2 linked regions of the Drosophila melanogaster genome follow. The protein of the gene in region 1 interacts with the protein of each later gene in a pairwise test. Each region holds a gene or a part of one and is shown on either strand. Other genes may lie near its edges.

Region 1 (16,731 bases):
AGCTGCCACCAAAAATGCGGCAAAACTTTTGTGCACTTCAAAACGGAAATCCCCTTTTGGCCAAAACTAAAACAAGCATGATAGACAGCTGTAGCCAAATTGCTCGACTATCAGATACCCGCTATTTAGCTGATGGGAGTGCGATTGAGAAATGTCAAACATTTCTTGTCATATGAATAGAATTTAGTAAGTGAAATAAGGAATGGAAAACAACTTGAAACAACGGGAAATTTATCAATCTAAATAAATGCGTAAATTTAAAATGTATAAAAGGACTTTAGAGGGTCGGAATCGTTTCCCATTCCCTTTACATACTTTATAACGGGTAACGGGCTTATAATAGTTTTTAATACTTGAATGTAATTCACACCATGCCTTTTAATATAGTATGTATGTACCTATGTACTTATTTACTAAAACAAGATTCCTCTAATTCAATTATTAGAATATTCGCCCTATTCATTCCTATTCAAGTAAGGTTTTTTTTGTGACTATAAATTTAAGGCCACAGTAACATGGTTATAAATTAATAATTTCTGATACTTAAGGAAGACAAACCACGATTTCTGATAAATAAAGTTAATAAAAGGACTACAGAATTAAAAGCTTAGCTTTCTTTGCCAAATGCTCTTTTAGTCGCTGGCTAAGTAATGTTTATTTCAATTGAAAAGTTTATGGGAAAAAAGAAAGACTTTAAAGTGTAACTAAAGTTTATTCGACCGTATCTCTGCTGGATTTTTCTTTTCAATAAAAAACTTACTGATATATCAAAGTAGTTGAAAAAAGATCATTGCCGAGCAAAAAACTTTGTTACTCCGTACAGGGAAAGTATTCCAATTCGTTCAACCCACATAAATGTTGTTTAAGTTGAGTGAAATTTGATTTCGCATTTTCAGGAGAACACCTCAAAAGTCAGCTAAACAAAGAACACGAATTTAAATCATTAGAATTTGGTTTTTGTTTAACTTATATTTCGAATGGGATTTATTTGGACATTTCAGTTAGTTAAGGTAGTCAGGTAGAGTTGGAGTGCTCGGAACTTCAGAATTGGGCCACAAAGGTGTTCGGGTCAATCAAAGTGGCCACCTCCCAGGGGTGAACAACTGAAGGACCCGGAATCCGATTGTAAGCGTCTGAAAAAAGCAAAAAAAAAAAGAAGAAAAACACGGGGTCAATCCGGTAACAGTTCACGGAAACTATTGTCCCAACTCACCGATTATCTTCTGGATGGCCGTCCGGGCATCCAGGATCTGTGTGGGCGGGGCGGGAGCGGGGGCGGCGCTGACAAGGACCAGACAGATGGTAACGAAGGCGATGGCGGCGACAAGGATTCTCGACATTCTGGGGCTTTGGTTCGGTATTCTGGAGCTTGGATGGTAATCTAATTGAAATAGCTGCGACCGCAGCTATTTATACTCGAAGAAACCGGGATGATGAAAGAAAGCCAGCATAGCGATTTGGCGATGAGCTTCTTGTTTCGAAGCAGCTGTTTGGAAATTGGATTTCTTGTTTTGAATGCGATGCCAACCAATTTCTTTGGCGCTACTTAATCCGGGGAATGTCCGCACTCGAAGATGGCAAACAAGTTTCGGAAAGAACAAACGATTTGAGTTGGGAATTTTTGAACACCTTGCAGGAAAGCATAACAATGCAAAATGCTTTTCGAACATTTAATGCAAATGTATAATCTTTTTGAATGCTAATAGTTTGGCTAAAGGTTGCGCTTATGAACTTCAAAAGTTGAATTTTCAATGAATTGGCTTGTAGAAAGCAACCATTTATACATGAAATCAATTTCATAGTCTTTCAATTTGGTTACTTTATTATCCTTAAACAGATTTTAAGAATGTAATTGAGTTTATTAAACATTTCCTTGCTTTCTTTCTTGTAAATGCATAGACATAAGCATATTATTTAACCCAAAAATCCATTTAATTGTAAATATAAATATTGTAATTAAATTAATAATTAAATAATTAAATTTAATTGTAAATATATACTCATAAACATATTATTTTACCCAAACAATATTCTTGTCGATACAATCGTCTTATCATCGTATTTCGCTTATTATATAAATGGGTATTGAATATTCTATACATAAGAGATTATAAAATTCTTTTTGAATATTCTTGCCGTAACACAAATGTTTTGCATATGACAGTTCATTGTACGAATGTGTGACTAAAAAAAAAAATCTCTGTTTATGTTTTGTTTTGCTATCTTTTATTTCATTTGTTATGCCTCAGATGCTTTGGGCATTTCCAACTACCTCAAAAAAAATGCCGGCCACATGAAAGATACAAATAGGAGAAGAATCTTTTGCTTATTTGTCGCCATTTGGCAGCGGATTTTTGCTGTTGATTTATACAAACAAACCGGTTCGCTTAATTTGCCGCTTGGACGCAGGCCAATCGAAAGTAAAATTTGTCGGTATTTTGTTCGTTTCATAAATTATTTCAGCTTGGGAATTCCTTCTTAGCATGGCGGCAAATTAACAAAAAAAAAATTAAATAAATTGCCGCAAATTGTATGCAAAATTCTTTAGGCAGACGCGCGCTCTGCCAATGTCTATGGAAATTGATTGGATTTGAAATTCGAACGCAGAGCGGAGGTGAAATTGTGTCTCTAAGTTCGGTAATCAGTTCAAGACGTGTATTGCCTAAAGCAGACGTTAAATGTTAAAGAGAACACGTGTCCTTCCAACAAGATTGCCACAAGGAGCGTATTTAGATACACATGTATTCTGATAAACCCGTGTTTGGCCAAAAGGAAATTGAAGTACGCCGCCCGACAATCACCAATTGTTCACGGAAATGTGTACCTTTTGTACGGACGGCTAATGAGGCAGCCGTAAAGCCTCTTATCGCCCCATTTATTGGCCTGTCCGGATCCGCAAATAATCATGATCTATGGCATCGAGTTCATATTAATAATAGCGTTGAGTCCGCTACTTAGTTATACTCATATTTTGTATATTTGCCAGCGATTTTTTATCTACACTTCTCTAGGCGCTTCATTTGGGTCGTGCGCAAATCAGGCTCCCTTATTCATGGTTATACATATATAGGTTGCCATATTAGCTTTGTGTGCTTAAAACTGGGAAAATGCGAGAAAAGCACGGCCAACGAGTGAAAATGGATAAGTGAAATGGATAAGTAAACGAGCAGCAGCACCCATCCCCCTTAGGGCATTTTTAAATTATATGTTAATAAATAAGTATTTTTCTTCATGGACTTCCTCTCACGGGATATACAAATGCTGATGCTGATGCCTACGCACCATGCTATAATTTAACATTGTTTGCATTATCCCAAGGCAGCCAAACGGTGCGTATGCTTAATATGCGAACGGATTAAGCCAAACCCCAAATGTTGAAGTGAAAGCACGACAGCCAAGTCATATAATCTGCAGCATCACAATGAGATAAATGTGATATTAATTATGAGAGTCATTAGCAAAATGCTTTGAAATTCGGAAGAAAAAATATTATTCTTCTTGGCCATGGAAAGCAAAACGATAGTAAAGTCCTTCGCTAATACGATACCATCTTAACATAATTAGGGAATCCTGTTTTGCGTAATTAATGCGTTGTAGCTTTTACCTTCCACATTAGATTCAAACTGCCAAGAAAATCCATTCTCTTTCATTAGGAGGCGCAAGTACATGTACATGCAACTGATTTTGATACATCGACGACTGTGTCAGTAATAATCATTGATGCATTAATATTGGGTTTCTTCCAAGAAGAACAATTTCCCTACGAATTTAAGAAAATTTTTAAAGCTTATATATACATATAATATATAATCACAGTGTGTGTGTGTGCACAAGTCGATATGCGTGTGCAAATTAGATTTACTGGCATGTCAGATACGTGCCCATATTGATGGATCAGCTGCCTCTCAGCTGCCAGGTGGAAATCCCATTGTGGAAAAGTTAATTTTTATGTTCAAAGTTTTCCACCTGCCATCTAGTTAATAAACTTTCCGGGGGGAAACCTTCAGCATATATATAATTGGCAGTCTTCACATACATACATACTCGTTTTCGTTTGGATGCAAATTGAAGTGTAGCCTAATATTTGCACTAAATAACCGACGTATTTTAATTTCCTTAACTATTCGAGCACTTAATTCAGGTTATGAGTTTAAATGGAAAATTAAAAGCATCTGGTTGAAAAGCATCCGGGTGAAAATTAAAGATGGGGTGGGTGCAACTCATTAAATTAAGTTGTGCAAAACATCAAGTGGTAAAATAAATCTCATCTAAAATATAAAATAAATCTCGTTAGAACTCATTCCCGTGGGTAAAAGATAGTTATTTGTACAAACATGCAATGTCAATGTTTAATTTTTTGAATATGAAATAAGATTAATTAGACTGATAGTTAATATAAAATGATAATTAAAATAGGCTTTTTTTCCGCGGAGTGATTGCCATTATATTATGTAACTGAACATTGGTTGTGCTGGCGGCATCTTTTCGTAATTGTCGTGTAACAGGTGAAAGGAATGTGGCTGCTGAAAAACACTCAATAGATAATTAAATGCTTATAATATGAGTTCGTTCTAATTATCACCACAATTAGAATGTATTCTATTATATGTTTTTGATGTGCCCTTTAATGTGCGCACGTGAACGCCAGTGGGTAGGTTGAAATCCATTCAAATCCTCGACGGGTTCAGGAATACATATAATATATATGTATGTACATATATATAGGCTTAAGCCTTCCCAAGGAGCATATGCTGCCTGTTTGTCTTTTGTGCATAATTAATCACTGAGTGACGCCGCCGGGAGTTGAATTGTGTTGTGCTGACATGGCCATGCTTTTTTATCACTGCCACAGTCTCCTGGCCGCTAAATTTATCTCTTTTCTAGGAGTCGCCTTCGCGTCCCTGTCCTTGCAACATCCGGCAACATAAGCGATTCCCTGCGAGTGGGTGGACGTGAAGGCGACCAGGAGGTGAAAAGCTCTAGCCGGTAAAACGATGTTAATGTCAAGTAGATCTCGGAGCACGTCTTGCTGCGATAATTGTTGGCGTAAATCATGTCGAAGAGCAACAGAATTACGTCCCAGACAGACACATACTATCCTTGTGGGCATATTGTACACGAAGAAATCAATGTGTCATACTCACACTTTTATCTTTAGCCCGAGGGTACTTCACATTAAAAGAGTGATTTCGATCAACTTTAAAAAGTAACTATAGAATAAAATTCTTATTGTTGGATCTGAAATTAAAGCAAGCGAAAAAATAATAATAATACAGCCAAAAAGATGCTCTAAAACAAAGAAATAAGTAAAGGACAGACAGAAAGATTTCATTAGTCCGAAATTTGTCATTAACTTATTACGTTTTAATTACTCAACTTATCACTTGATTGATTACTCAACTTATCACTTGATCTATTTGATAGAAGTATTTCAAGTTACTGCAACATTTTCTCGCAGTGTAGTGTCTGCGCTAATGGATTGTGTCCTTCGCAAAGTTCGGGCATTTCCGCGGACATTTCTCTTTGCGGCCACAGGACGTAATTGAAATAAATATTTTTCTGTAGTGTTCCCTTCAGAGCGGTGGAATATTTTTGAAGAGCCACTTTATTGAAATTTGTTTGCTTATTTGCATTTCTTGTACTGGGAATTGATTGAAATTGAAGAATGTAAACTCAAGTAATACGGGGTATTTGCCAACATTTAAGGCATGGAATTCTAAAAGCCAGATTAAGTGTTGTGGCAAAAGGAAAAACAAAGTGTTGCATGGTTGATGCTGGTTCATGTAAGAGGCATTACTCAAATTAATGCGCACAGCAGCGGGTGAAAAATTATGCAAATCACGTAATTTTTATTTCGCCGTGTTGAAAAGTCAAGACGACATGCTTTTTGTTTCAAACGGCTGCTTTTAAGGGGGGTGGCCTATGTATTGTGCCCACTTTTATTGCAAACACGCGCGTAGGTTTCCCTTTTGCAGACAGAAGGTGCATGTATTACTGACACTTTGCGCCTTCTCCTAAACTTTATTTCGGTTTTATTGTTTTAAGCTTTCGTTTTGGGCTGCTGAATTATGTTATTTGCGAGCATTCTTTAAATAACGAATTTCCTTTACTTTTCAAATTACGCGCCCGCTGTGCAACCCTGCGCACGTTATCGATTGCCAGTGGGCATGCGCACAACTATCGATTACCGATGACAAACAGCTGTGTACCTATACTTATCCAATATGGCTGCAAGTAAAAAAAATTGTAACGCTGTGAAAAAACTGCAATTTGAATTGCATTTTCCGCTTGAGTATTAGATAGAAAAGTGCGAGAAATGTGAATTTGTGCAAACGAAAGTGGAACACTATCCGAAAATCAAGTGCGCGCCAAGAAATCGAAGCGAAAAAGTGAATATCGAAAAAGTCGCCGGTGCCCCGCCAAAAAAAAGAAGACTCCCCCACTCCACTTGAAAACATTTCTCTGCGGAAATAAGGAAAATACTGCGAAAATGGAAGCCGACATAACGCCCCTGGCGGAAACCAACGGAGAGCAGCGCCAAAATCCCCAGGAAAGTGCTCAAAACCAAGAGCAACCGCAACCGCGGCAGGATTTGGCGGGCAAGTCGGTGGGTTCCGCTGATGATGGCGTCTCCGGAACTGTGGGACAGATTATGGATTACCTCGAGGTGCGCCCGGCTTTAAAAGACTTGGAAAAGCTTGTGAAACTCATACATATATATATATATATGTTTGTTTATTTTTATTTATATTATAGGACGATGCCGGTGCAACTGCCGACCAGGACGCGGAGATGGGCGAGGCAGAGTATCTGGATGGCGAGATGCCGCAGGAGGATGAGAGCGAGACTCCGCAAACGGAGAAAGCCAATGAAGGTTGCCAGGAATCAAGCAATAAGAAGGATTTGCAAGAATCTGCAGCTAAAGATGATTTTTCCAAGGAAAAAAGTGGAGAGGATGGTGAAAAAGACACCGACAAGGAGAAGAAGGCAACTCATTTACATGAAGATAACAACGATGATGCCGAAAAGGATGGCGACGAGGCCGACGCAGAGGATGAAGACGATGTAGAGAAGCCAGAAGATGAGGATGGCACCGAAGAAGGCGACGAGGCCATTGAAGAAGATGAGGACGCTCTCGATGAAGATGAGGATCCCAACGAAGAAGTCGAGGAAATTGAACCAGATTTCGAGACTGGCACCGATGCAGAAGGTGAACTAATCACTGGCGATGAGCCGGGCGATCTGGCCGATGTGCCCATTAGGGAGCGCAAGAAAGAGGAACCCGTGGACGAAGACCAGTGCCGCGTTTGCACCAGCAAGGAAGAGCTAGTCTGCCTGTTTAAGAAGCAAATCGATGCCACGCCCGCGGACATGCTGCTGGTCATCTGTCCTAATGTCTCGATTTTGCCCAAGGACTTTATGCCGCAATTCATATGCACCAAGTGCATGGGCAGCCTTACCATTGCCATACAGCTGAGAAAGCAGCTGGAGACCACGGACCAGGAGCTGCGCAAGCGTTTGTCCCGAAGCAAGAATAAAGTGCGAAGACCCCGCGGCTATGTGGTCATAGACGCACCTGTCACCGATTCCAGTGAGGATGAGGATGAGCTCGATGATGAGTTCAAGGTATCCGATGTAGCCGGAACCACGAGTGCCGACAGCGATTCTGCCGATTCGGATGACAGTGAGAAGGAGAAAAAGAAGCCCGGACCACGTGGGCGTCCTCGAAAAAAGCCACTCAAGAGAGGCACGGACAGCGATGGGGAGCCTTCCAGCGCCCAAAAGAAGAAATACCAGCCCTCTTCGACGGCTTCAGTGGGCCCATTCGAGTGTCCCAACTGCGACTTGACGTTCTCGCGCAAACAATCCTATGTGCTGCATCGTAAGACTCACGAGAGAATAGAGCATGCCTGTCCCATCTGCGGCAAGAAGTTCAAGGTGGAGTGGGCCTATAAAACGCACATGCAACGGCACGAGCAGGAGCGCGCCCATTTCCGCTGCGAGCTGTGCCCCAAGATATTCCGACTGCGCGCGGAACTGAAGCACCATATGGCCCAGCGACACGACGAGCATGGCTTCATTTACGAGTGCAAGCGCTGCCAGCGGACGTTCCTCACCCAGCAGCGACTGCAGCGTCACCAGGCCGTCGGTTGTCAGCGGCACAAGGAGGATAGCGTTCGCATCAAGGAGGAGCAGTCGCGGTTCAAGCAGGAGTCGCGCAGCAAGGACGACCGCCATCATGGCAACAACAGCAGCAAACGCCGTCCCGGCGAAGGACGGGATCTTTTCAAGGCTGTGGCCCCACCAACAACCACCTATTGGAGCGATAGCTTCTCGGACTAAAAAAACCAAGGTGCGGCGGCTTGCGGATTTCAATTCAATAATTTCTAATGAACGATTTTAAGTTTCTCTAGCTGTAGGAAGAATTCAGTGCAAATAAATCACATTTGTAATAAATACAAAATAACACTAGTGGAAGTTTTGAGTACATGTAAACTTCTCAAGCTAAGTAAGTAAGCGAAAAGGCAAAATAAAAAGTTCGATTAATGGCAGATTGGAAAATATTGACTTAGACGCTAAGATTTTCATTTGTTCCTAAGGACACCATTAGATTATAAATACTTCAAACATATAAGATTCGCTGTTAAAATAAACACTATGTTTGGAATAAGTGCGTCGTAACTTACATGGAGTGCGCTGCTCCTCAGTGACCCACAATGCTTTCCTTTTGAACCCCTTTTAATTGGATCCCAAAGCGTTTGCTCGCCAAATGGCAGCACTTAGTGCCGCCGAGCTAAAGAACAACCAACTGCAGTTCTGCACAATCTTGGCCATAATGTGGCGTTCTAATGTTTATAATTTCGCTTGTGGAGCATAACTAGGAGTGTTTAACTACTGGGGATTACTTTGGACCCAAGCTGGGGGTCTTTAGTGTAGACTTGCAGCATATATGTGCATAAGCGGAGCACTAAGTGTGGTTACTCACAACTTTCAGATCCGTGTACAATTCTTATCAGGTATTTCAGAAAGGTTTGGTAAGAAAAATGCTGTAGTACTTCAAGCAACTAATTTGGACCACAAAATTTGCACTTTTCCAAGAAAGTTTTACTCATGGCCGGAAGGAAAACGAACTGAGTTGCAACGTTTTAGTTATAATTTTAAACTGTAAGCCAATAAACTAAGTTATTTGTGTAAGCCTAATTTGTAAGCCGTAATTTATGCAAAATTGTTAAGCTTTTCTTTTGGGTTTCTGTGGGAAGTTTTGTTGTGATTGCAGTGAGTTTTTAGGGCTAAATTTAAAACTCTTTAAATTGAATTGAAGACACACGTTTGACTTTAACATTTATTTACATAGCAATCGGGAATTGTTTGGGCAGGAAATCTGATGCACGTGCGAATGTTTCGGCAATGCTGCTGCACTACAAAGGTGTCTAATTGATCCGCCGCTCCGTGTGCGTGCCTAATTAGAAGTGGTGGATGGAGTGGTAGGTGGGCAGGTGATAGGACACCGAAGACACCGGATGGTGGGCAATCAGCGGGGCATGGGCGATGAGTGGGGCATGCGATATGATTGGGGCATGATGCACCAGCGTGGGTGCAGCTATGTAGTGCGAGTGGGTGACCAAGGGGGCATGGTAGCCGAGCCCCAATGATATGCCGCGCTTTGCCTTGACAGAGGACTCCTCCTGCTGCTCCTCGGCGGCGGGAGCAGGTGCGGCCAGGATGCAGGCCAAACTGGCGATGAGCAGCAGCAGCTGTGCCGTTTCCAAGCAATTTTCATTGGTATTTAACGATGAAAAGCGGGAAAAAATGACGGATTATTAGAAATTCTTAAGAAAATATCATATAATTTTCGCAATTATCTTCTTCGCTCTGACGATAGCTTACAGTGAATTTCATGTTGTTGGTATATTTAGGATTTATGTGTAACTCGACTTGAAACTGTTCGCACACCACTGGCTTTAATTGAACTAACGACGCTGGCAGCCAGAACCTGGTTATTTATACCATTCGGATTGTTCTCAAAACTCACTCAAAACTAAGTCAAACGCACTCATTAGGCGAAAACTATTTAGGCCCAAAAATAAAGTAAAATTCGCACAAGACACGCATCGAGAAAAATATGCCCACATCAAGCCAAAATTGCACAAACAAGCCAAGCGACTCAAGAAATATGTACATATGTATGTATGTAGATAGATGTGTGTGCCTGTGCGTATCCATCCGAGTGGGGCCGAATGTATCTGAGTATCTGAGTATCCGACGGATCGCCACATCGCCAGTCCACATAAATTGTTTTTTAATTCAGCAAATTATTTGGAGTACTCACTTTGAGTGCCAATAGGCGCCTCAATTTATTAGCCGCTGCTGTGGTCAATGTGTTCATCTCTAATACTAAATGCCAAAGCCATTAATAACAATAATTTCTATCTGGCAGATACTTGTCAGCAATTGTCGCAGTGTCTGAGTATGTGAGTTATGAACACTCCATTCGAAGCTAATCTATTGTACAATCAAATGGAATGGTGCATTTCAAAGCTAAAAGCTATTAGCTGTGTACCAAAGGTAATGGCCAAGGATATTTGTTGCCTGTTCAAAAATGGCAAAAATAACAAAATTTCATATTAAGTATTAAGTATTGTATAAATATTGTGGCGTATACAAACAGGCAGGTATTTTGTCCTTTCTGAAATGTAATAGAAAGTTAGACAAGGCTGTGCAAATAAGACTACCAACCAAAGGATTAAATAAATTAGCCAAGGGCACGAATTTCATTATGCCTTGAAATGAATTGACATAACCGAAAACAATTTCGCATTGGCCTGCCGGCGACAACAAAAAATTGATTGACACTGTTTGGCCGGGCTAATTGAAAAAGACACTTTAAGTTACAACTAAATTCTAATTCACTAAATTCTCAGCTGATATGAAGCGCTTTAGTGGTAGTTAAAGCACTTAACGACCTCAATAATTGGACCCTCTGGTGGGCCAGAAGTGATGGGGGAGCTAAGCTGTGGCATCGTTGAATCAATTGGCCCAGCGGGGATTATGTGGCCAGAGCTGTATGTGATAAGGGTGTTTCTCTCTCTCTCTCTCTCTCTTTTGCTCTCTCACGTTATCTTATACTTCCGGCGGAAATGTGGCAATAAAAAATGAGGAAAGCGAACTTATACAGCTGTGTGCACTCAGAAAAAGTGCTCTCCTAATCCCCTTACAATCGGTTTATAAAAGTTAAGTGTATTGTTGAAGATAAGTGAATATAACATATTTTTCGTTTACAATTTTGTTTAAATTTCTTTTTAAGATTACTTGTACCACTTTGCTTTCTTAATAAAGTGGTAAATTCCACTTTCCTTCATTTCCTTCCTTGCATTAGGGCTACATTTTAGGTTAGTTTTTTTTTGAGTGCATTTGACTAGCGAAATGTTAATTAACGGCCCCTCAAATGGCGGAAAATGAGGAAAGAGACCTGCAAAGGACGGCCTGGTGTGCTACTGCTGTTTATCTGCAGCTGTCAGTTGGTGGTGTTAATTTTTTGTTAGTCCTTTGCGGGAACTTGGGCGTATCCTTTGTGGGTGCGCCACCTGTTCAGACATGTTGCTCAAGGCCACGCGCTAGTGAATAGGAGGCGACTTAAGGAACTTGCCGACAGTGAGAGGCACAAAGATAATTTCTTTTTAAAACTGAAATGTCTTTACGCTTTATTTGTGAGCCACGAATTGAATTAAGGCTGTTCTTTGGAATGGGGATGGGCGATAAGTTGTAAGGGGTTTTAAATTGTCAACACCATTTGTGCATAGGAACAGACAAACGAACTTGTTGACAAATAAGAATATTTACCATATAAACAAATCAAGATCTGTCCATATGACATAGAGATCTCGGAAATTATATGAAACTGTAACTAGATGGCCATCATGGAAATAGTCTCTTTCCCACTTGCATATCTATTCGATAGTCGAGGTTTCTTCTAATTTCCCACAAAAATTGTTTCCTTCTGTAAAACTCCCGGAAATTAATAATTGCCTATGTTCCTTTCAATATTGCCTCCCGAAATGTCCCTTTGATAACAAACGCCATTTGCAGAAAAATGCTTTCAGAAGGGCAGTCGAAACACCGAAATGGTCCAAATGAAATGAGTTTTTTTTTGGAACCGATTTCATTTTGATTGAATGTGTGTGGCAATAACTAATAATTGCCCGTAACGCAACGGCTGTAAACGTTTGACGAAAACGAAAGGCCAATCGATCAACATCAAATGGTCGACAGACATTGGATTGACTGGCAGTTAGTTTCAGTTCAATGGTACACACTACATTGGACAATTTTGAGTTACCTAAATATGCATATTGAACGAGGCAATGCAATGCGATTGAGGTCCGGCTGTGCGTTTCAGTTGCGAAATGAGTTGCGAACAGGATTTATATTCAGATTTAGCCATTAGCCAAATGCAACACCTTCGACGACGTGTGGACACGTCGACTTTGATTCGGCCAACTGAGTGATCCGGGGTAGTAGTGTCAGATGCCAACATTACTTATGCACTGAAAGAAATAAATAAAGGATTTACATGTGTAGTAATGTATAATTGGGCTGCATGACATGCATGATAATGATCAACTTTCAAGCAATAATAATTCTATGACATCACGACATTCATACGGACAGAAAGACGAACATGGATTTACCATTAAAATGTAATTATAATATAATATAATAAAGTATCTAAAGAATTTTTTACTTGGATCTCCTAGCAATTTTAACCATATTCTCAAATGCAAAATGTGAAGTTCTTGCAAATAGATACACAGACTAATGGGTCCGCATTTGCCAATTAATTGCCTACAACGCCCAGGTTGCTTTGAATCACAGGTGGACATTTGGACAGGTTTGCTCAGCTCACTGGCAGCTCCACTTTGGCCATTCAAAATTGTTTATCGCTTTGACGAGTTGCAGTAGCAATTTCGACACCGTATGCCCATAATGAAGAAACGGCATTGATAATAACAAAGTAATGATAAATTAGATGCTGTTGACGTCTAATTCATTTTTGATGATAGTATTGATTTTATACATAAATGACACAATTTCCCTTTTATTTTGTAAAACATTATGGCATTTTCACTTTAATGGTCCTGTAAAACACAAGTTAGTTGTAAAGCACAGAAAAACTTTCCATTTCGATGACAAGAAGTCCTTTAAAATTCAAATAAATATATAATTCTAATTCTAAATAAATAATTCTAAGCAATGGTTTATGTATTTAAACTCCTTAAATTTTGTTCCAGTTTTTAACTAGCACATATACATCAAAAGAGCGGAACTAGATAGTCTACAATGATGCAAGAGACCGGCAATCAAATGGGACAGACCCATATGCACCAGCGGGTTCCTTTCAACGACACGGTTCTGAAGGACTATCATCTCACGAGCACCGATATCGAGAAGTTTGTAAAGCTATGGCAGGAGTACCAGATGAAGAACATGACCCCTCAGGTGGATGAGTGCCAGGGCTATTGCCAGGGGGAAATATACAACTGGTTGCGAGCCTACAACAGCATCCATGGATACGTTTCGCTGATGGTAAGTAATACTCGTGATTACAACTCCCCCTGGGCACGAAACCCGCAATGTTGGCCAAAACAAAGGAATCGGTTGACTAATGATGAGCAAGGGAAGCCAAGACGATACACACAGACCTTCGCCGACAGACCACTGATGAATGTAGGGGACTTCTTTACCTTTGAACTCTTGCCAAAGTCGTCCTTTTTTCGAATTAAAGTTATAGCATGCGCTCAGCTTAACCATCAAAATCACAAATGAAATTAGTGGCCGGGAATCTCGGTCTTTTGTTTATGTCCGGGTTTCCCTTTTCAGGGCTTTTTTGAAAAGGATATAAATTATATTAGATGTAGTTAAGCCGTTGAGGCGTTAATGTGCTTTTTTCATTATAATTTTCAGTCGTAAGTCATTTTGCGTTGTAGCAGACGGCCTTTACCACAGGAATTGGGTCAGAAAATACCGAGAATCCATTTCCATCAAGGCTAGTTCATAGCCCATCTTTTCAAATAAATATACAATAAATCAAATACAGTTGAAAAATGTAACTTTATTGCTTTCCTTCGTTCGCACAAAAAATAGTTTACCTCTTAAATTGAAATAAAATTCTGAACCAAACTTCGGTTACTGTAGTTCCATTTTTTTTTTTTTTTGCTTGTGTGAGCAATGTTAAGAAATGTAAATACGAGAGGTCACGACAGTTGAGTTGCTGCTCACGAGCTGAATAAATAAAATATTCATCCACTTTGGTGTCCAAGGGGAGTGCATTCAGTTGAAAGTATGTGAGCGCTCACAGTTTCGATTTGACAAAGGACGCATTTTATGTTGATTCTTTCTTGTTTCTTTAAATCACCTAGATTTGCATTTTCGGGACAATAGCAAACATCTTGAACATAATGGTCCTGACCAGAAAGGAAATGGCCAAGACGCCCATAAATAATATACTTAAGTGGCTGGCGGTGGCCGATATGTTTGTGATGCTGGAATATATACCCTATACATCGTATCAGTATATATATATGGGGCCAGGTAAGCATACATTTAGTAATAATATTTAATAATAGTCTTGGTTATAGCTTTACTTGTTATTTATTTATTAGTGTTATCAGCTAGATTATTATTATAAAGGTATACTCTTGATCAGGATCTACACACGTCTGTCTGTCCGTTTCTAAGGGTATATTTTGTTAACAATTTTGTTAACAATTCCCATATATCCTTTCCCCTTTGCACTTACTTTTAGTTGAGTAACGAGTATGTGGTAGTCGAGGCAATCGGCTATGACCTTCTCTGTAGGTTTCCTTTCTTTTTTAATTTTAAGCCGTTTAAATTTTTTTGAATTATTTAATATTCTTTGTATGGCTGTTGCAGGTGAAAAAGATTTGAGCTACACCTGGGCGGTTTGTCTGCTGGTTCACATGCACTTCACCCAGATCCTGCATACGATTTCCATCGGATTGACTGTCACGCTGGCGGTGTGGCGGTATGTGGCTATCAGGTGAGATGATCCTTCGGCCAGCTATGCATGACTTATTCCGGAATTCGCCGTCATCCATGTAGAGTTTGTCTCCGGTTCACATTCATGATAATCCACATCCGCAATTCGAACAGACATCCGGCTAATCTGATTACCACATCATTGTGGCAATGTGGCTTCTCTTCTCTTCCCCCGTCTTTTGTTTATAGCCAAATGTTACCGTCTCTATTCCACAGACATCCGAACGGGGGCTGTGCCAATTTCCTGCTAGCACATTCCCGGGAGGCGATCCTCCTGCCCTTCATCCTGTCGCCGATCCTCTGCCTGCCCACGTACTTTGTGTTCCAGGTGCGTGAGACGTACGACGTGGACAAGGTCAACTCGGAGGCCATGTATCATGTTTATTTCGACAAGGACTCGGTGCTCTACAGGTGCGCTTAGATAAGAAGTCTGATGTCATTTATGCATCCTGCGAAGAACCAATTGTAAAATATTTCATCGTGAAAATCCTTAACAGATTCAACTTCTGGATACATTCCGTGCTCATCAAACTTCTGCCGTGCGGCATATTAATTGTGATCAGTGCAGTACTTATGCACGTTTTGTGCGAGGCATCGAGACGTCGCTTGAAGCTGAGGGATTACAACAATCCCGCCAAATATGCCATCCAGCTTAATCTGAATGAAACCAAATCCAAGAAGTAAGTACGCACTTGACTCGTTTAGTGCTTAAGAATTCGCCTCATTTGCAGTTTGCCTTGTTAGTTTCATGATCTTTGATTTTTCTGTTTTTGAATGGTCTCGGATTTTGTCAAATCTCTTCTTAGGTTCCTTTTTGCCATCTTTTTTATAAATTTGTCTTTTTGTTTTTGTATCTTAGGCCGCCTCGCTGTGATCGCCGTAACGATCGGACTACCCTTTTGCTGGTTGCGGTACTGGTTTTGTTTCTGATCACGGAGTTTCCGCAGGGATTACTTGGTCTGCTGTCCGGAGTGATGGAGAAGTGCTTCTTCGCCCACTGCTATCCGCCGTTTGGAGAGCTGATGGATCTGCTGGCACTGATCAACGCCGCCGTCGGATTCGTGCTGTACGGTCTGATGTCGAAACAGTTCCGGACCACCTTCCGATCGCTGTTCATGAAGCGGCACTTTGGCAGCACCGAAATGACCAGATTGACCCGCGTAACCACGACTTGCGTCTAGTTGGGCACATCTAAAGATGTGATCATGGGCAGGAGCAAACACTAGTGAGGGATGAAGTAGGTGAGGGACATCCAAGATGTTCCGGCCCGGCATTGAATTTGAATTTTCTAAAGCATAAACTTTATAAAAGTTTCGTTGACTAAACAAAGCCTAAATATGAGAAACTGTGAGTGTGGAATTATTGTACGGGCTGACCAGTTGATCAGTTGATTTCCACAATGGTTTACTTTTAGGTGTAGTCCTAAGGCGTTGACTGGTGCATCGATCGGTTTAGAAATTGATTCTGCTTGTGATCTGGCTGTTTCGCAAAGTGCCATTTCATTTCCAAATAATTACATTGATTAGTTTACCAGTTGGTGTTTCAAATTCGTATTAGTATATAAGTTTCATAGGCTAAGTCAGCTGTACAAAGCTGTACAAATACGAGACATTTACTTTTCCATAAGATGCAGAAAAAAAAACAGGAATCCATCATCAGCAAAACTGTAGCCAT
Region 2 (16,937 bases), on another chromosome or scaffold:
GAAAGCCGACCATTCTATTCACTAACTTTTATTGCCGATAACTTAAATAATAGTTCAGTTAGATCATACGAATGATAAACAAATGGAAATACTGAATTTTTATAAAACATTAAAAGAATCTTCTTATATTATATATCAAGTATATTCTTCTATAATACTTTATGATTTCTTCAACTTTAATTAATAATCTATAATAGCTTAGTTATACTCTTATTAGGAATATACATCCCTAATTTTATTTATAAATGTTTAGGTAACAGTGAATATATGTACAGTACCATATACGATCCTCATTAGGATCATCAGATATTATTATTCCTTATTTCCCATTGTTATGCTCCAAGCAACTGAACCAAGTGCATATACCCTCTGATAGGGCGTGGCCGGCAGTGACGTTTCGCTGGCTTTTCTCCACCGTCGTCGTGGACGTGGACTAAAGCCAAAATTAGTCTCTTTAGATCAGCCGTCGACCGCGGTTCGTTGTTTGTTTGCCAGAGTTTGTCGATTTGTTGTAAGTGAAAGTGCATCTCTTGGGTTCTCGGGGAAGCTCCACAAATGTTTGAGGTCAATGGCGGCGTTAAGGACACGTCTGAAAGTCATTTAGATCTCCCACTGCTATGGAAGATTAATAGAGATATACGTATACTTTTCTATAGATATTATGTTTACTTATACTCTATGCGTTCATATATACTCAGTTAATCGGGTTCTACGCGGAGACGTTCCAAAAATAAATAAGGGGGCACGTGTCGATGTATCAGATCTGCCGGCAGAAATATTATTTTGTGGTTCTATATATTTTTCCATAACACATTTGTACGATTTTTTTTTTGTAGAGCAAACAGGTTATCAGCCAGTCAAATACAAAATAACAACCAGACACCACAACCACACAAACAAAAACATGCATAATCAGAGTGACAAGTTTTTGATAGTGATTTTTTATGCAACAAGCCCCCGAAAAAACCACTAGAGACAGAACGAGGTCACCGATTTGACCTTCCGATAGGGGAGCACAACCCCCTCCCTTCTACTAAGTTCTACTAAATTGGTAATTGTTTCCACCTTAATGGATCCCCACAGGAACCGCACCATTTACAGAGCGTACTGCAACTACATACATATAACCAATAATGGCGGCCAGTAGCGGTGATTGTAAGTGAAGTAGCCTGCTTCCTGCTTCCTGCCTCCTGCTCCTCCAATGTTGCCCAGCTCCTTTTGCCCCAATGTGCTTTCCTTATGGCCCACCCATATCTATACTATGCCCGCCTGCACTGCCCAAACTTGTTCCACTGACCAGAAATATTTTTAACCAGTTGCTCCAAAATAAAACCCCGCTTCAGTTGTACAGCAGTTGTACATTTAATCCATCCTAAATCCTTTCCACTGCCTATATATGTTATGTATTACTTAGCTCGTTGTCTTTATTTTCTTACAAAGTAATATTACTAATATTTAATCGATTTATTCCAATCCTATGCTAATCCTCTCCCAATCATATCCAGTAAAATTTAAAATCTTGTTTTATACTACAGTATAATTCGCTTAGCTGCATCGATAGTTAGCTGCATCGGCAAGATATCTGCATTATTTTTCCATTTTTTTGTGTAAATAGAAAATAGAAAATAGAAAAAAAAAAAATTAAGTTAGCTGCATTTTTAAGTTACCTGCATCGAGGCATTGTGCAAAGTACTCGAGGCAGCTAAGCGAATTATACTGTACAACTAAATTTTTTTGCATATAAAATAGCCAAAATGACCCAACAGAGGCCAGCTTTCGACTCCAATGCGATGACGCTGACGCGTTTCGTGCTGCAGGAGCAGCGAAAGTTCAAGAGCGCCACTGGCGATCTCTCCCAGCTGCTCAACTCCATCCAGACCGCCATCAAGGCTACATCATCCGCGGTGCGGAAGGCAGGTATCGCCAAGCTCCATGGATTCGCTGGCGACGTGAATGTCCAAGGCGAGGAGGTCAAGAAACTGGACGTGCTCTCCAACGAGCTGTTCATCAACATGCTGAAGTCATCCTATACCACATGTCTAATGGTTTCCGAGGAGAACGAGAATGTGATCGAGGTGGAAGTGGAGAAACAGGTAGGGATATATTAGAGTCTTTAAGCCTTAATACGTGACCAATTGTTACGAAATTTGGTATGAGGGTGTGAATTAGCTTTTAGCTGTCAGTTAAGATGGCTCTATCTCTAAGATCTAACCCTATATCTTCTAGCCACATTTAATGACGTTTCCCTATAATTTATTCGCTCTTCCACCTCCAGGGCAAATACATCGTGTGCTTCGATCCCTTGGATGGATCCTCCAACATAGACTGCCTGGTGTCGATCGGTTCAATCTTCGCCATTTACCGCAAGAAAAGCGATGGTCCGCCCACAGTGGAGGATGCACTGCAGCCCGGAAATCAGCTGGTGGCCGCCGGCTACGCGCTATACGGTTCGGCCACAGCAATTGTCCTGGGTCTGGGTTCGGGAGTGAATGGCTTCACTTATGACCCGGCCATCGGAGAGTTCGTGCTGACCGATCCCAACATGCGGGTGCCGGAGAAGGGAAAGATATACTCTATCAACGAGGGATATGCAGCGGATTGGGAGGATGGTGTCTTCAACTACATTGCGGCCAAGAAGGATCCCGCCAAGGGAAAGCCCTATGGAGCGCGGTACGTGGGTTCCATGGTCGCGGATGTGCATCGCACCATTAAATACGGCGGCATCTTTATCTATCCGGCAACAAAGTCCGCTCCCAGCGGAAAACTTCGTCTGCTGTACGAGTGCGTGCCCATGGCCTATCTGATGATCCAGGCTGGAGGTCTGGCCAGCGACGGAAAGATCAGCATTTTGGACATTGTGCCCAAGAAGATCCACGAGCGCAGTCCCATATTCCTAGGATCCAAGTCCGACGTGGAGGAGGCACTTAGCTACTTAAAGTGATTGTTGTGACTACAGTAACGTATCAATAAAGATCAATTATATTTTTTACTAAGAAATGCAAGTCCTTCAGCCGTTCTGCCCAAAGACTTATGCTCAAAAAAATTGACAAAACCATTTCTAATTGGCCTGAATAATTCTCAACTAGTTCTAGCTGCATTCCAGAGTGGCTTAACCTCTGGTAGTTCCTCCATTGGAGGAACTGATTTCTGAAATCAGACGGAGTGCTAGGTGCTTACTCCGCCTGTGGCCCGGTATTACAGTGCCGGCGGGATTTCGGCCCAATTAAATAATACATTTTAAAGCTAGAGGAGAGAAGATTGGTGTTGCAACCATTGAACAACTGGTATTTGTTCATCTTATAGTAAGCAAGAATTGGACAAGTCAAGTATTATGGAAACATATTTTTGAGTTGTTTAGGTACCAGCGAAGAGATTACTATACATCCATTCCAATCGTGAGATTAACGAATTAAAAGAATGGCTTAACATATATACATATGTAATATGTACTTATATAACATATATATATATGTTTAAGATTAACGAATTAAAAGAATGGCTTAACATATATACATATGTAATATATACTTATATAACATATATATATCTATATATATATGTTATATTATTATATCTTAAACAAGCTGTTCATTTCATTTAAATTATAAATTTAATTATGTCAGACTACGCATAAATTCAAAAATACAAATTTACACACGAAAGAAACCTAGAAGGCATTCGCCTTGTGCTTGGGTACAAAGGTGAAGCCTTCGGGCACTCGACCCAGCAGCGATTCACTAAGCTTTACCCAGTCAGCTGCGTTGCCGGAACTCATAAGGGTCTCCATTTCGTCGCGTCCGCGGTACTTTTGCGGTCGAGCGTTGATCTTTTGCGGCGGTGCGGTCTGCAAAGCCTCGGGTATGTATCGGTACAAGAAGGACTGCCATTCGAGGAGGAATCGGCGAGTGGTCTCCACGCCCTTGGTGTCTGAGCCCCAGTGCTCCAGTCCGTAGTTGCAGAACTTTTGCAACATCTCGTAGCGTTGCCCGGACGATGGGGACCAGGCCTGTTTCTCCTTTATCTCTTGGAATATCCAGGGCTTTATTAACGCGCCGCGTCCAATCATTACGGAGCAAACGTGAGGCGCCAGCGTCCTTCGCTCCATGTAATCCTCGTAGCTGAGTATGTCGCCATTGCCGATCACCGGCATGCACTTTGCCTTGGCGGCACACTCCTCGATGTAAGCCCAGTTGGCGTGTTTAGTGTAGCGCTGCTCCCTGGATCGCCCGTGCAGGGTCACCGCCGAGGCACCCCACTCTTCAACAAGCGGAAGAAGTTCGTGCGCTACGCTCTTGTCTGCATAGATGCCGGTGCGCATCTTCACGGTGAAGGGCAGGCGGTCCGACAGGGCTGCACAACTCCGCACTGTCAGCTCCAAGATATTGGTTCGTCGCATCAGCGCACTGCCACCGCCTTGCTGGTAGATCAGATCTATCGGGCAGCCAATATTAAGATCAATGAAGTCCACCTGGGCCGTCTCATGAATAACCTGCGCCGCCTGGTTGAGCATGTTGGGATTATTTCCGCATAGCTGGACTCCAAAGACATCTTCGCTCTGGTGTCGCTTGGTCAGGGCCCACTCCTGGCCCATACCCTTCAGGAGAGGCTGAGCGCAGGCCATCTCGCCACAGGTGATGTCTGCACCGAATTCCTTGCAGATCCGGCGGAAAGGCAAATTGCCCAACGTGGTCAGTGGCGACAACACGAGTTTCTCGCGGAAATCCACGGCGGGCTTATGGTCAGCATCTCTGCCGATAGCGGAATCATCAATTGCACAACCAGTGGCAGTTGGTTTACTCTTAGTATCCGTCTGTTTTTCTGCATCTAATATCTCGGTGGTTTCACTAGGTTGTTTTTCTCCAGTCTCTTCAGACGGATTCTTTTCCTTCTCCTGTTGTTCCTTTAGTTTTCGGGCATCCCTCAGCTTTTCAGCCATTTTAATAAGCTCCTTGCTCCGACTGAAGTCATATTCATGTTTTCGTAGACGCACTTGGAGTTCTGAAAAGGGGTTCAATTAATGAGTTTATCAAGGTACTTTAGTATCAGTTAGCTGATAGGTGCAGAAGAATTGCCCACCTGAACTGACGCCATTGCATGTGGTTGGAGGAGCATTTTCATCGTAGTCCTCCCTTTTGAGGTTCCTGCCCTGTTCATCAGTGTGGGCCTTTGCAAAGCGACAACTCACACCGCGGGCACAGTAGCCCTTGGTGGTGTACACATAACATTCAGGGCCCAAATCTTCTCCCTTGGCGGCCAAGTAGGCGTCCAGGTCGTGGACATAGCGACAGTTGGCCAGGGAACAAGGTTCTCCACCGGTTCCATCGATCAGCGAGTGGCACAGATGCGAGTACCGCTCGTCCTTGAAAACTGGGCGGTTCTAAAAATACGATATTTTGTATAGTATCTATATTATATATTATTGACGAACCTTGTTCTGTCCGCGTTTGCGTTCCTTTTTATCCCATTTCTTTTTTTCACCGGCTTCCACTTCTCCACCGTCCTCGCGTTTTCTTTTGTTTGTGTCGCTGTTTTCGGTGTTAGCTGCAGCACTGCCGCCATCGGCTTCAGTTACCAGGTATCTAAAAGGTATAAAGAGTGAATTGAATTAACCAAATATTCGCCATTAAGCTTACTTACTCTGGTTTGATGTAGCAAATACCGGAATCCATTTCACAATAAACAATCGCACGTGTTGGTATGCGTCTTCTTCTACCTTGTTTTTGTCAATCAGCTGCTTGTGATGATTTATCGATAGAAGAAAAGATATTGGTCGCGTTCAGCATAACTGTGAATTGAATGGATTTCACTGGTTATTAACTAATAAATACTAAAATTAATCCACGACTTACGTGGCAATGATGAGGTCTCCTCCACCCTTAAATTGGTAATTTAGAAGTTTTTGCCCGAGCTAAATTAGATGACACCGATTTATTTCCCTCCGTGGTCACAGTGAATCAGTCACTTTTTGCAGGTCTGCTCATCGCTATTGTATAATGCCGCCTGCGCGATGGTGCAAATCTTTAAATTCCTGTTAAAATCCAGCAAATCTGTGAGAACATTACTATTATACCTAAATCAAAAGTAATATCAAAAGGTTTTAATGCCCAGACCGGTCGTGCCCACTTCCGGCCCACTTTTCTGGACACACTGCGCCTAGCGGTTCGTGGAGGACATGGTGGAAATGGACTGCCCAAATACGGAGGAGTTGGTGGCCAAGGCGGTTGCGTCTACTTGGTGGCAAAGGAAGGACTCACCCTTCGCAAGGTCGTCCAGGGATTGAAGGATAAGCGAGTGGCAGCATCCAGTGGCGAGGACAGTAGCAAAGCCAGCATCTTTGGACGCCGTGGAGCTGACCAGAGGATCGAGGTGCCTGTGGGCGTCCAGGTATATGACGACCAACAAAAACTCATCGCCGACCTCGACGAGCACGAGGCGACATGCATTGTGGCGGGCGGAGGTACTGGCGGATGCACGGCCACAAATTTTCTGGGACGTCCCGGGGAGAATCGCACTGTAAATCTGGACCTAAAGCTAATAGCAGATGTGGGTCTCGTGGGATTCCCCAACGCTGGCAAAAGCACCCTTCTTAAGGCCGTGTCCAATGCCAAACCAAAAATTGCAGCTTATCCCTGTGAGTTATTGCTAGATCAAGTTGGTATTTAATCATTAACTAACAACTCCTACCTCAGTTACCACCATCCGACCCCAGATTGGAACCATCGAGTACAGGGACCTGCGCTCCATCACAGTTGCCGATCTTCCCGGTCTGATCGAGGGCGCCCACGCGAACTTCGGCATGGGTCACAAGTTCCTGAAGCACATCGAACGCACCCGCCTGCTGGTCTTCATGGTGGATATATTCGGCTTCCAGCTGAGTCCCAAACATCCGCATCGCGACTGCTTGGCCAATGTGTATGCGCTCAACAAAGAGTTGGAGCTCTACGATCCATCGCTGCTGGAGAAGCCCAGTGTCCTGCTGCTGAACAAAATGGACAAGGAGGGTGCCCACGAGATCTTTACCAAAGTTAAGCCGCTCGTCAGCGATTTGGCCAGCGGACTTGAACAGTGCCCCGAGGAACTGCGTCCGAAACAGGTGCTCAATTTCGACAGCATTGTCCCCATATCGGCCATGAACTCGTCGAAGATCACGCAAGTGAAATCCCAGCTAAGGAGGACCCTGGTGCGGCTGGCTGAGAAGCAGTTCCTGGCGGACGAGGATCAGGTCAAGGAGAAGCTAAGACAGCGCGTTGGGGTGGTGGGTCCAAAAATTACCTAGTTGTTATTGCAAATAGTTTTGTGAGCGGCTTAAGAAATTAAATTAAATTTGTAGCAGCGGAAATGTACTGCAAACTGACTTCTTATTCTTAAATTAGTTTTTCTACAAAATACGAAAGGCAGTAAGACAAGAAGAATACTTCTTATAAAGCATCCTGTGTGTTTAATTCTTTGTCGGAAATCAATTTGAAAACTTTACCAAGAACTGAAATTAAAAATTGTTTCTAACTTTGTTACTGCAGTAAGTGAGTAAGATTCGATAGAACAAAGTGTAAGTCCTTGGGTAGAATCCTTTGAATTGAATTCGATTTCGAAAGCTTTCCATGCGATGGAAAAGCTCCCACACCGATAGAACTGCTATCGATAGCTGGTCACTGTGGCCCCACCGCTAAGTGCGCTCCACAAACAGTTTGTTGTTGTGTCTCGCTGGACGTTTCGTTCGTCGCGCGTTCGGGAGCGAAATAAAGCGTAAAATGGTCAAAACCCTTCGCCCGCTTCGAGCCAATATTAAGTGCAATTGCCGAGCTGTTGCAGAGTGCCATGTGTGAGTTGCCGCGGCAGTTGGAAAATGCGAAATCTAAAGGACAATAGCAACAATGCCAGTTCGATACATACACACAGACGGGGGCCGATGAAAAACTGGTATATAAAAGACGCCAAAAGCTTGCGAAAAAGAGAGCTAACGCGCCCCTAACTTGGCCGCAGGATAACATACCACAAGGCGAACCGAAAGCAGGCGACACTTACCAGTGGGCAGCATAAACACAGGCAGCACCGCGTCCGTGATGTCACAACAACACCCCCATCACGCCCACCCCCACCACTACGCCCACCACTACCCGCCCCCCGTGACGCCCATGTCCCTGCAGCAGCAACAGCAGCAGCAGCAGCATCAGCAGGCGCAGCTGTCGCCTCAGCAGCAGCAGCAGCAGCACGCCAATTGGTACTCACATGTTGCTTCCTACCCCACACCACACTCGGCCTTCGGCCCCGCCCCCGCCCCCTCTTGCAAGGCCGCCAACAACAGTGGCAGCGGCAACAACAACAACAACATCATGGGCGGCGGGGGATACGGGCCAGGAGGTGGTGGCGCGCAGGGCTATTATGGCGCCGCTGGCGGTGGCCTCAATGTCAGTGGGGCGGTGGTGGGTGGTGGTGGGCCGAACTACGGCCTTGGGGCCAACACAGTGGCATATGCCCACAACCAACTGCTGCAGTATCAACAACAACAACAACAGCAGCAACAACAACAGCAGCAGCAGCAACAACAGCACCAGCACCAGCATCTTCCACAGCACATAAGCCAACAAAGACCCTATATGGGCCACAATATCATGACCGGCAGCTATCCCTATATCAAAAGCGAACCCATGGAGGCCTACCAGCAGCCCCCGAATCCCATGGCTCCGCCCCCGGCACCAGAAGTATTAATAAAATGTAAGTTCCCGAAAATGAGTATCTAGTACGATTAATATTAGTTAGTAATCATATTTAAAGTTTACTACCGGGTATACTTCCTTGAAGCGGTTTTACAGTGGGTTGGGTTTTTGTGTATACTTAAAGAGATTCCCAGAGAACCAGGAGACGAAAGTAGCTATTATAAAAATGAGAGTAATTCTTTTAATTACTATGCAAATTAAAGCACACAAGCGCGAAATAATGTAAATTTATGGCAACTGAAACACTAAATTTTGCATAGCTGCCGATTCAGATTAAAGACCAAATATGTTGATTTATTAAGCCCCTTGAATGGGGAAGTAAAAATATTCAAATCTAAAATCCCTTTACGCCGAAGAAAGTCCGAAAAACCTAAACGCAAAATCCGCCTTTGCCATAGAAACAGATACAGAATACACGCATTATATATCAAACTAACTTGGGGCCATTTTCTTATAAGTAGCGTAGTTTCAGCTCCATTTTGGCGTCGAATCAATAAAACGTTTGTTGAGTTTCGCTGAGGTTTGGCGCTTATTTCGTTCGGATGGTTTTCGGATTCGAATTCGGATTCTGATTCGGTTCCACCGCTCGTCAACCTACGGCTCTGTATCTGTATCTTGCTCTGTTCGGTTCCGTACCGTGGCGTACAATTTGGTTCTGTTTGCGCGACTCTCGGTATGTGCGAGATGGTATACGGTTGTCAGTATGTATCCATTTGGCAAATGTGTACTCGGATAGATGCTTTATACTACCGGCGTAACCTATTCAGTTCGATTCGTACGCACACATGTGCATGCATGCACTCGTATGTCCAGTGAGTGTGCATATCATCTCCCTCCTCACATTTTTTGGAACGGGTTGTGGTGGGCCACTGTCTTTCAAGTCGCTTCTTATGTAACTTGCTCCCGTAGACTAACCTACAAATTATTGGTCCCGCCCCGCACTCCCGGTGCCATTTCGATGGGCGTGTGGGCGGGGCTGAATGCAGAGAGACAAAGACAAATATTATTGGGTACGACGCCCAAAACATTGATACCATAGGTAATGATTCTCAGTCTCTCCAACATGTTCGCGTAATCCGGATATCAACATAAGTATCCGGATGCAGAAGGCAAAGTTGCTAATAAATATAAACACTAAGTCGGACATACGAATGAATATTGGTGCTTTTTACTTTTAATTGACCAATCAATGAGTCCAATAGCTATTACTTCAAGAATGATTTTAATATAGTTCAAATGCGAACAGCCTAGTTGGTACCATAAATAATGTAAATAGAAGAAATTTCTGCTTGTCTGCAGAGCACTCGGTTATCTATCAATTTTATGTAGGGGCAGTTAATTCTTATCACCAACCAATGGAGAGTACAAAATACAATTCGGAACCATAGAAACAGCAAACAGTGGATACAGAATTTTCATCTGCGCATAGTTTTAGCATTTCGCGGTTATATAAATCTTTGAATTAATCGCCAGCATTAATAAGTTAGATTATAGACATATTTATTATTCCTTTGAACCAAGTATTATATGTACATTACTTTGGTTTTAAAAGTAAAAAAAATAGTAATCAAATATTTCTTGAACAGCGGAACCCATTGACGAGCATTCCTACAAGTCCAACTATATAGACGACAATACGCCATTTGCTGACTTCAGCAAATTCAGCGAATTCAGCGAGGACATGCTAAGTCCGAAAGTGGAGCTGACCGTAAAGGATGAGTCCTACGGAAGGGTGAGTTTATAATGGTTCCTTGCCGAAACTCACCGTAGTCATAATTTCTATTCTCTAGACCACTAGCAGTTTCCTGCGTCGCAAACAACAATCGGATCGGGGCAATGAAAGTCTGCCCATCTGCCAGCGCTGCAAGGAGGTCTTCTTTAAGAAGCAGGTCTATCTCCGCCATGTGGCCGAGAGCAACTGCGGCATCCAGGAGTACGACTTCAAGTGCAGCACATGTCCCATGTCCTTCATGACCACCGAGGAGCTGCAGCGGCACAAGCTTCACCACCGGGCCGACAGGTTTTTCTGCCACAAATACTGCGGCAAGCACTTCGACACGATCGCTGAGTGCGAGGCGCACGAGTACATGCAGCACGAATACGATAGCTTTGTCTGCAACGTAAGAAGCACATATCATTGGCGTCTTGGAACACTATATCATTGATCGTCCATTTGCAGATGTGCTCCGGCACCTTCGCTACGCGGGAACAACTGTACGCCCACCTGCCGCAGCACAAGTTCCAGCAGCGCTTCGACTGTCCCATCTGCCGCCTATGGTATCAGACGGCTCTAGAGCTTCACGAACATCGTCTGGCTGCTCCATATTTCTGCGGCAAGTACTACACGGGCGGACAGTCATCTTCTGCGTCCCAGTCGCAGGCGCAGCAGCACCAGACCAACTACAAGCTGCAGGACTGTCATATGGCAACCATGGAGAGTAAGTTAGGAAACATAAGTAAACAAAAAAAAAAAAAACACCATTTCTAACGTGCTTTTTCTCTGTGTTTTAGTGCCCACAACCCCGCACCACAAAACCACTCCATCCGGCTCGTCTTTGCCAGCGACGGCTGCACTGAATTCTCTACTGCAGCAGCGTCAGGCAAATGCCGACGGAGCTGCCATGTTCGCAGCATCCGCAATGAAGAACGAAGTGAATGTTAAGATGGAGCGGAGCTACAGCAACTCTACCAGCGAGTCATCCTACAGCGTTCAGGACAGTGGCTACAATAATGCGTATGGAAGCGACAGCTCAATGCACGCAGGAGCGATCGCCGGGCCCCAGGCGCACTCCTCAACGCTGGACGACTCCGAGGACGCCCTGTGCTGCGTTCCTCTGTGTGGCGTGCGCAAGAGCACGAGCCCCACGCTTCAGTTTTTCACGTTCCCCAAGGACGAGAAGTACCTCAATCAGTGGCTGCACAACCTCAAGATGTTTCACATACCCGCCGCCAGCTACGCAAATTTCCGCATCTGTAGCATGCATTTTCCGAAGCGCTGCATTAACCGCTACTCTCTGTGCTACTGGGCCGTTCCCACGTTCAACCTGGGCCATGACGACGTGGCCAATTTATACCAAAACAGGGAACTCACTAACACCTTCACCACCGGCGAGGTAGCGCGCTGCAGCATGCCTCACTGTACAAGTCAGCGGGGTGAGAGCAACTTGAAGTTCTACAACTTTCCCAAGGACATCAAAAGCTTGATCAAGTGGTGCCAGAATGCACGACTTCCCGTTCAGGCGAAGGAGCCGCGTCATTTTTGCAGTCGCCACTTCGAGGAGCGCTGTATTGGCAAGTTCCGTCTGAAGCCGTGGGCGGTGCCTACTTTACACCTAGGTGCCCAATATGGCAAGATCCACGATAACCCAAAGAATTTGTACGTTGAAGAAAAACGCTGCTGCCTCAACTTCTGCCGCCGTAGCCGATCCTCTGACTTCAATATGTCGCTATATCGATTTCCCAGAGATGAAGTTCTCCTGCGACGCTGGTGCTACAATCTCCGCTTGGATCCCGGAGTGTATCGTGGGAAAAATCACAAAATATGCAGCGCCCACTTTATCAAAGAGGCGTTGGGTCTGCGCAAACTATCACCAGGTAAGTTTGAACGGAATTGCTGCGTTTGTAAAGAATATTTAAATGATTTCTTAATGTAGGGGCCGTTCCGACGCTTCATCTGGGTCACACTGATACCTTCAACATCTACGAGAACGAATTGTGGCCACCGCCAACGGCACCCAACAGTCACAGCAGTGGCCTCCAGCACCAGACGCAACAACATTCCTCGCAACACTCACTGCAGCAGCAATTGCATAGCAAATCGTACCACCGGCAATCGGCGGCCTCCACGTCCTCCTCCGCCAGTTCGGCAAACTCTCACTACGTGGATCCTGATCTAAGCGCCTCTTACCTGGGCTTAGGTGCCAGTGGATCTTCTGCAATGAATGCCAGCGACAGCATGGACGTATGTTGTGTGCCCAGTTGTGAGAGCAAGAGGCACAATAATGAGAACATTACATTCCACACCATACCACGTCGACCGGAGCAGATGCGCAAGTGGTGCCATAATCTGAAAATACCCGAAGAAAAGATGCACAAGGGTATGAGGATCTGCAGCCTGCACTTCGAGCCCTATTGCATCGGCGGTTGCATGCGTCCATTTGCGGTGCCTACGCTTAACTTGGGTCACGATGACGACGATATTCATAGAAATCCGGATGTGATCAAGAAGTTAAACATCCGGGAAACGTGCTGCGTCGCCGTGTGCAAACGAAATCGAGACAGGGACCACGCGAATCTGCACCGTTTCCCAAGCAATGTGTCCTTATTGACCAAGTGGTGTGGCAATCTGCAGCGTCCTGTTCCGGATGGAAGTAAACTTTTCAACGACGCCATTTGTGAAGTGCACTTTGAGGAACGATGTCTGCGCAACAAAAGACTAGAGAAGTGGGCAGTGCCGACACTATCGTTAGGCCACGAAAACATCCCATACCCGCTGCCAACGCCGGAACAGGTTACGGAGTTTTACTCTCGACCCACTGCGCCCAATAATGGCGAGGAACAGGGAGAGTGCTGTGTGGAGACGTGCAAGAGAAATCCAAGTGTGGACGACATCAAGCTTTATCGGCCGCCGGAGGAAGCTTCCGTGTTGGCCAAATGGGCGCACAACCTGCAGACGGAGAGCAGTCAACTGACAAGCATGAGGATCTGTAATCTTCACTTTGAGGCACACTGCATCGGCAAGCGGATGAGACCTTGGGCTATTCCAACACTGAATCTGGCAGGCACAATAGAGAATCTCTACGAGAATCCGGAGCATTCGATGCTGTACAAGCGGCGGACTCACATGAAAGCCAAGCAATCGGCTTCCGTGAAGCCCACTTGGGTGCCCAGGTGCTGTCTTCCGCATTGCCGCAAAGTTCGGGCTCTCCACAACGTTCAGCTTTATCGCTTCCCCAAGCTCAATCGCTCCACTCTGGCTAAGTGGGCGCACAATCTGCAGGTTCCTATGGTTGGCAGTGCCCAGCGCCGTCTATGCTCGGCTCATTTCGAGCCGCACGTGCTGAGCAAGAAGTGCCCGGTGCCGCTGGCGGTGCCCACATTGGACTTGAATGCGCCGCCCGGCTTGAAGATTTACCAGAATCCAGCCAAGCTCAAGGCTAGCAAGCTGTGTCTGCAGCGCGTGTGCATTGTCGAGAGTTGTCGCAAGACGCGGGCGCAGGGCGTCCAGCTCTTCCGACTGCCACATAGTCCAACGCAGCTGCGCAAGTGGATGCACAACATCAAAACGCGTCCCAGAGCGGCGATGAGGGCCCAATACCGTGTGTGTTCCCGCCACTTTGAGACACACTCTTTCAATGGCCGGAGACTGAGCGCTGGCGCCATTCCCACCCTGGAACTGGGTCATGACGACGAGGACATCTATCCCAACGAAGCGCAGGCCTTTGCGGACGAGCACTGCGTGGTGGAGGGCTGCGAGGCATCCAAGGAACAGCCTGACGTGCGACTCTTCCGCTTTCCCACAGAGGATGACGATATGCTATGGAAGTGGTGCAACAATCTCAAAATGAACCCGGTGGATTGCACCGGCGTACGCATATGCAATAAACACTTCGAGGCAGATTGCATCGGGCCCAAGCACTTATACAAGTGGGCTATTCCCACCGAGGAACTGGGTCACGACGACGCCGACATCGAGCTAGTGCTAAATCCCAAGCCGGAGGACAGGTATGTGGATCCTGTGTTCAAGTGCATCGTACCGACCTGCGGAAAGACGCGTCGCTTCGACGAAGTCCAGATGAACAGTTTTCCCAAGGACGCGAATCTCTTCGAGCGATGGAAACACAACTTGCGGTTGGAACACCTCAGCTTCCACGAACGCGATCGGTACAAGATATGCAACTCTCACTTTGAGGATATATGTATTGGGAAGACGCGGCTTAACATAGGTTCGATTCCGACTCTAGAATTGGGTCACGACGAGACAGACGATCTGTTCCAGGTAAATCCGGCGGAGCTGCAGAGCAACCTTTTCGGACGACAGCGGCGAGTACACGACGAGTCGGGCGGTATAATCATCAAGCAGGAGTTTTCCGAGTCGGAGGACGTCAAAACGGACGTGTCTGATGCCAAAGATTTCAATACGAGACAGGTAAGTTTTCTATTCTTAGAGGAGCAATAATTAGCCAGTTTAATTCGTATTTTCTTTAAGGTTAAGCTCAGAAAGACTATGTCCGATCTGAAGTGTTGTGTGCGCAGTTGTGGGCGCAGTCGACTGGAGCACGGAGCGCGCCTCTTTCCATTTCCCACCGGCAAGCAGCAGCACCTGAAGTGGCGCCATAACCTGCGCCTGGAACCCGACGAGGTGGACCGATCGACACGGATTTGCAGTGCGCACTTCAATCGGCGCTGCATTGATGGCAAGCAGCTGAGAAGCTGGGCAATGCCCACGCAACAACTGGGCCACCAGGAGCAGCCGATCTACGAGAATCCGAAAAACATACCAGGATTCTTTACGCCCACCTGTGCTCTGAGTCATTGCCGCAAGCGTAGGAGCATTGACAACGATCTCCGCACCTATCGATATCCGAGGAGTGAGGATCTTCTGGAGAAATGGCGGGCGAATCTGCGTCTGGCGCCGGATCAGTGTCGCGGCAGGATATGTGCTGACCATTTTGAGTCACAGGTGCGTGGAAAGTTGAAGCTGAAAACGGGAGCGGTGCCTACTCTAAATCTGGGCCATGATGAGGGCTTAATATACGACAATGAGGCTATAAAGGTGGGCATGACCGAAGAAGAGGAAGGCAGCTCGGAGATGACACGACTGAAACCCAAAAGAGAGCTGATTGATGAAGAGGAAGAAGAACTAGAGGCTGAGGAGGAGCCCCATGAGCACGATATGTACGATGAAGACGAGAAGGACGGCCACTATTTCGATCCTCTCGAACTGGTCGAGACCTTTGCCGAACATCCAAGTGACGATGAAGCCGAGTATCGTGGAGATGAGGAGGATGAGCGCGACGAAGATGAGGACTTGGACGAGGCGGAGCACTTTCATCCGGACAACCCACCCACTCCCCCAACCATCCCTCTGCGTCGCGAAAAGCCCGCGAATAATGTGACGCCCATTTGCTGTCTAAGGCACTGCAGAAAGGAACGTACTGCTTTTCATCTACTTAGCACCTTTGGCTTTCCCAAGGATCGCCAACTGCTGCTCAAGTGGTGCGCCAATCTACACCTGAATCCGGATGACTGCATCGGCCGCGTTTGCATAGAGCACTTTCAGCCGGAGGTATTGGGAACCCGAAAGCTGAAGCAAAATGCGGTACCCACTCTCAATGTGGGCCACGATGAGCCACTTAGATACTCTTGTAATGGAATGGATCTTGACCAGGAGCAATTGCAGCCACAGCACTCGGTTTTTCGGCTTTGGAGCCTAAAACACTGCCGCAAAAGGAAACTGACGGAGCCGCCGGACATCCGCCAAAACAAGTGGAGTGCGGAAGTGCGGAAGATGCAGAGATTGAGGATGGAAATGAAGATGAAGATAGGGAGGGAGATCAAGCTGGAGGTGCAGACGGAGAGGGAAATGAAGTCCAAGGAAAAGACTCCAACGACGAGTCTCGGAAAGATTAAGTTGGAAATATGTTGCATCAACTCCTGTGCGAATGACGACGTTAACCAACTACTTCAGCTGCCTGAGGATCAAAATCTCTTAAGAAAGTGGCAGCATAACCTAAAGTTATCCGTGGACACGGACTTCAAGGAAATCCAAGTGTGTCTAAAGCACTTTGAGGAGCAAGTGGTGCAAAACGGAAAGCCCTTGGAGCAGGCTGTACCCACCTTACAGCTAGATCAAAACAGTTGGAACATCTACAGAAACAGCGGGAATTGCCTGTTTCCAGAGTGCAGTAATTCTTCATCGGACCAGTTAAGCTTTGTTGATTTACCTGGAAATGCGGTCATAAGAGATGCCTGGATGAGTCACCTCAATTTGCCACCCAGCAGTGAGGGTCTTCTTTGTAGTGAGCACTTTATGCAACTCTTTGAACAGGTGGAGTACCCCAAGGTATTGGCCGCACAAGATTTGGAAGACTTGCAGTGGATTGTTGACGAACTTAGATGCGCTGTTCCCAGTTGTTCATCCAAATCTGATGGGGATCTTCAGCTTATCCCTTTTCCGAAAAAGGATGCTACCCTTTTGAAGTGGCTGCAAAACACAAAGAT

The links.
Region 2: the proteins of CG12391 (region 1) and CG10631 interact in a two-hybrid assay, tested with the Drosophila melanogaster proteins (one large-scale study listed by BioGRID).

Annotation. Positions count from the first base shown.
Region 1 is NT_033778.4:11,139,537-11,156,267, reverse strand, and holds CG12391 (uncharacterized protein), read left to right. Parts: upstream 1-6,199; 5' UTR 6,200-6,490; coding exon 6,491-6,667; intron 6,668-6,756; coding exon 6,757-8,343; 3' UTR 8,344-8,666; downstream 8,667-16,731. Other genes in the region: CG13230 (uncharacterized protein), read right to left, coding at 1,042-1,133, 1,214-1,340; CG13231 (uncharacterized protein), read right to left, coding at 9,465-9,755, 9,889-9,900; CG13229 (uncharacterized protein), read left to right, coding at 13,339-13,584, 14,418-14,589, 14,932-15,058, 15,274-15,468, 15,555-15,737, 15,917-16,238.
Region 2 is NT_033779.5:19,747,644-19,764,580, reverse strand, and holds the start of CG10631 (uncharacterized protein), read left to right. Parts: upstream 1-7,676; 5' UTR 7,677-8,060; coding exon 8,061-8,712; intron 8,713-10,300; coding exon 10,301-10,446; intron 10,447-10,504; coding exon 10,505-10,834; intron 10,835-10,893; coding exon 10,894-11,152; intron 11,153-11,225; coding exon 11,226-12,308; intron 12,309-12,367; coding exon 12,368-14,862; intron 14,863-14,922; coding exon 14,923-16,937. Other genes in the region: fbp (fructose-1,6-bisphosphatase), read left to right, coding at 1,134-1,155, 1,750-2,093, 2,276-2,941; Dus3 (dihydrouridine synthase 3), read right to left, coding at 3,668-4,998, 5,077-5,377, 5,429-5,579, 5,638-5,669; CG10628 (uncharacterized protein), read left to right, coding at 6,008-6,049, 6,109-6,631, 6,690-7,276.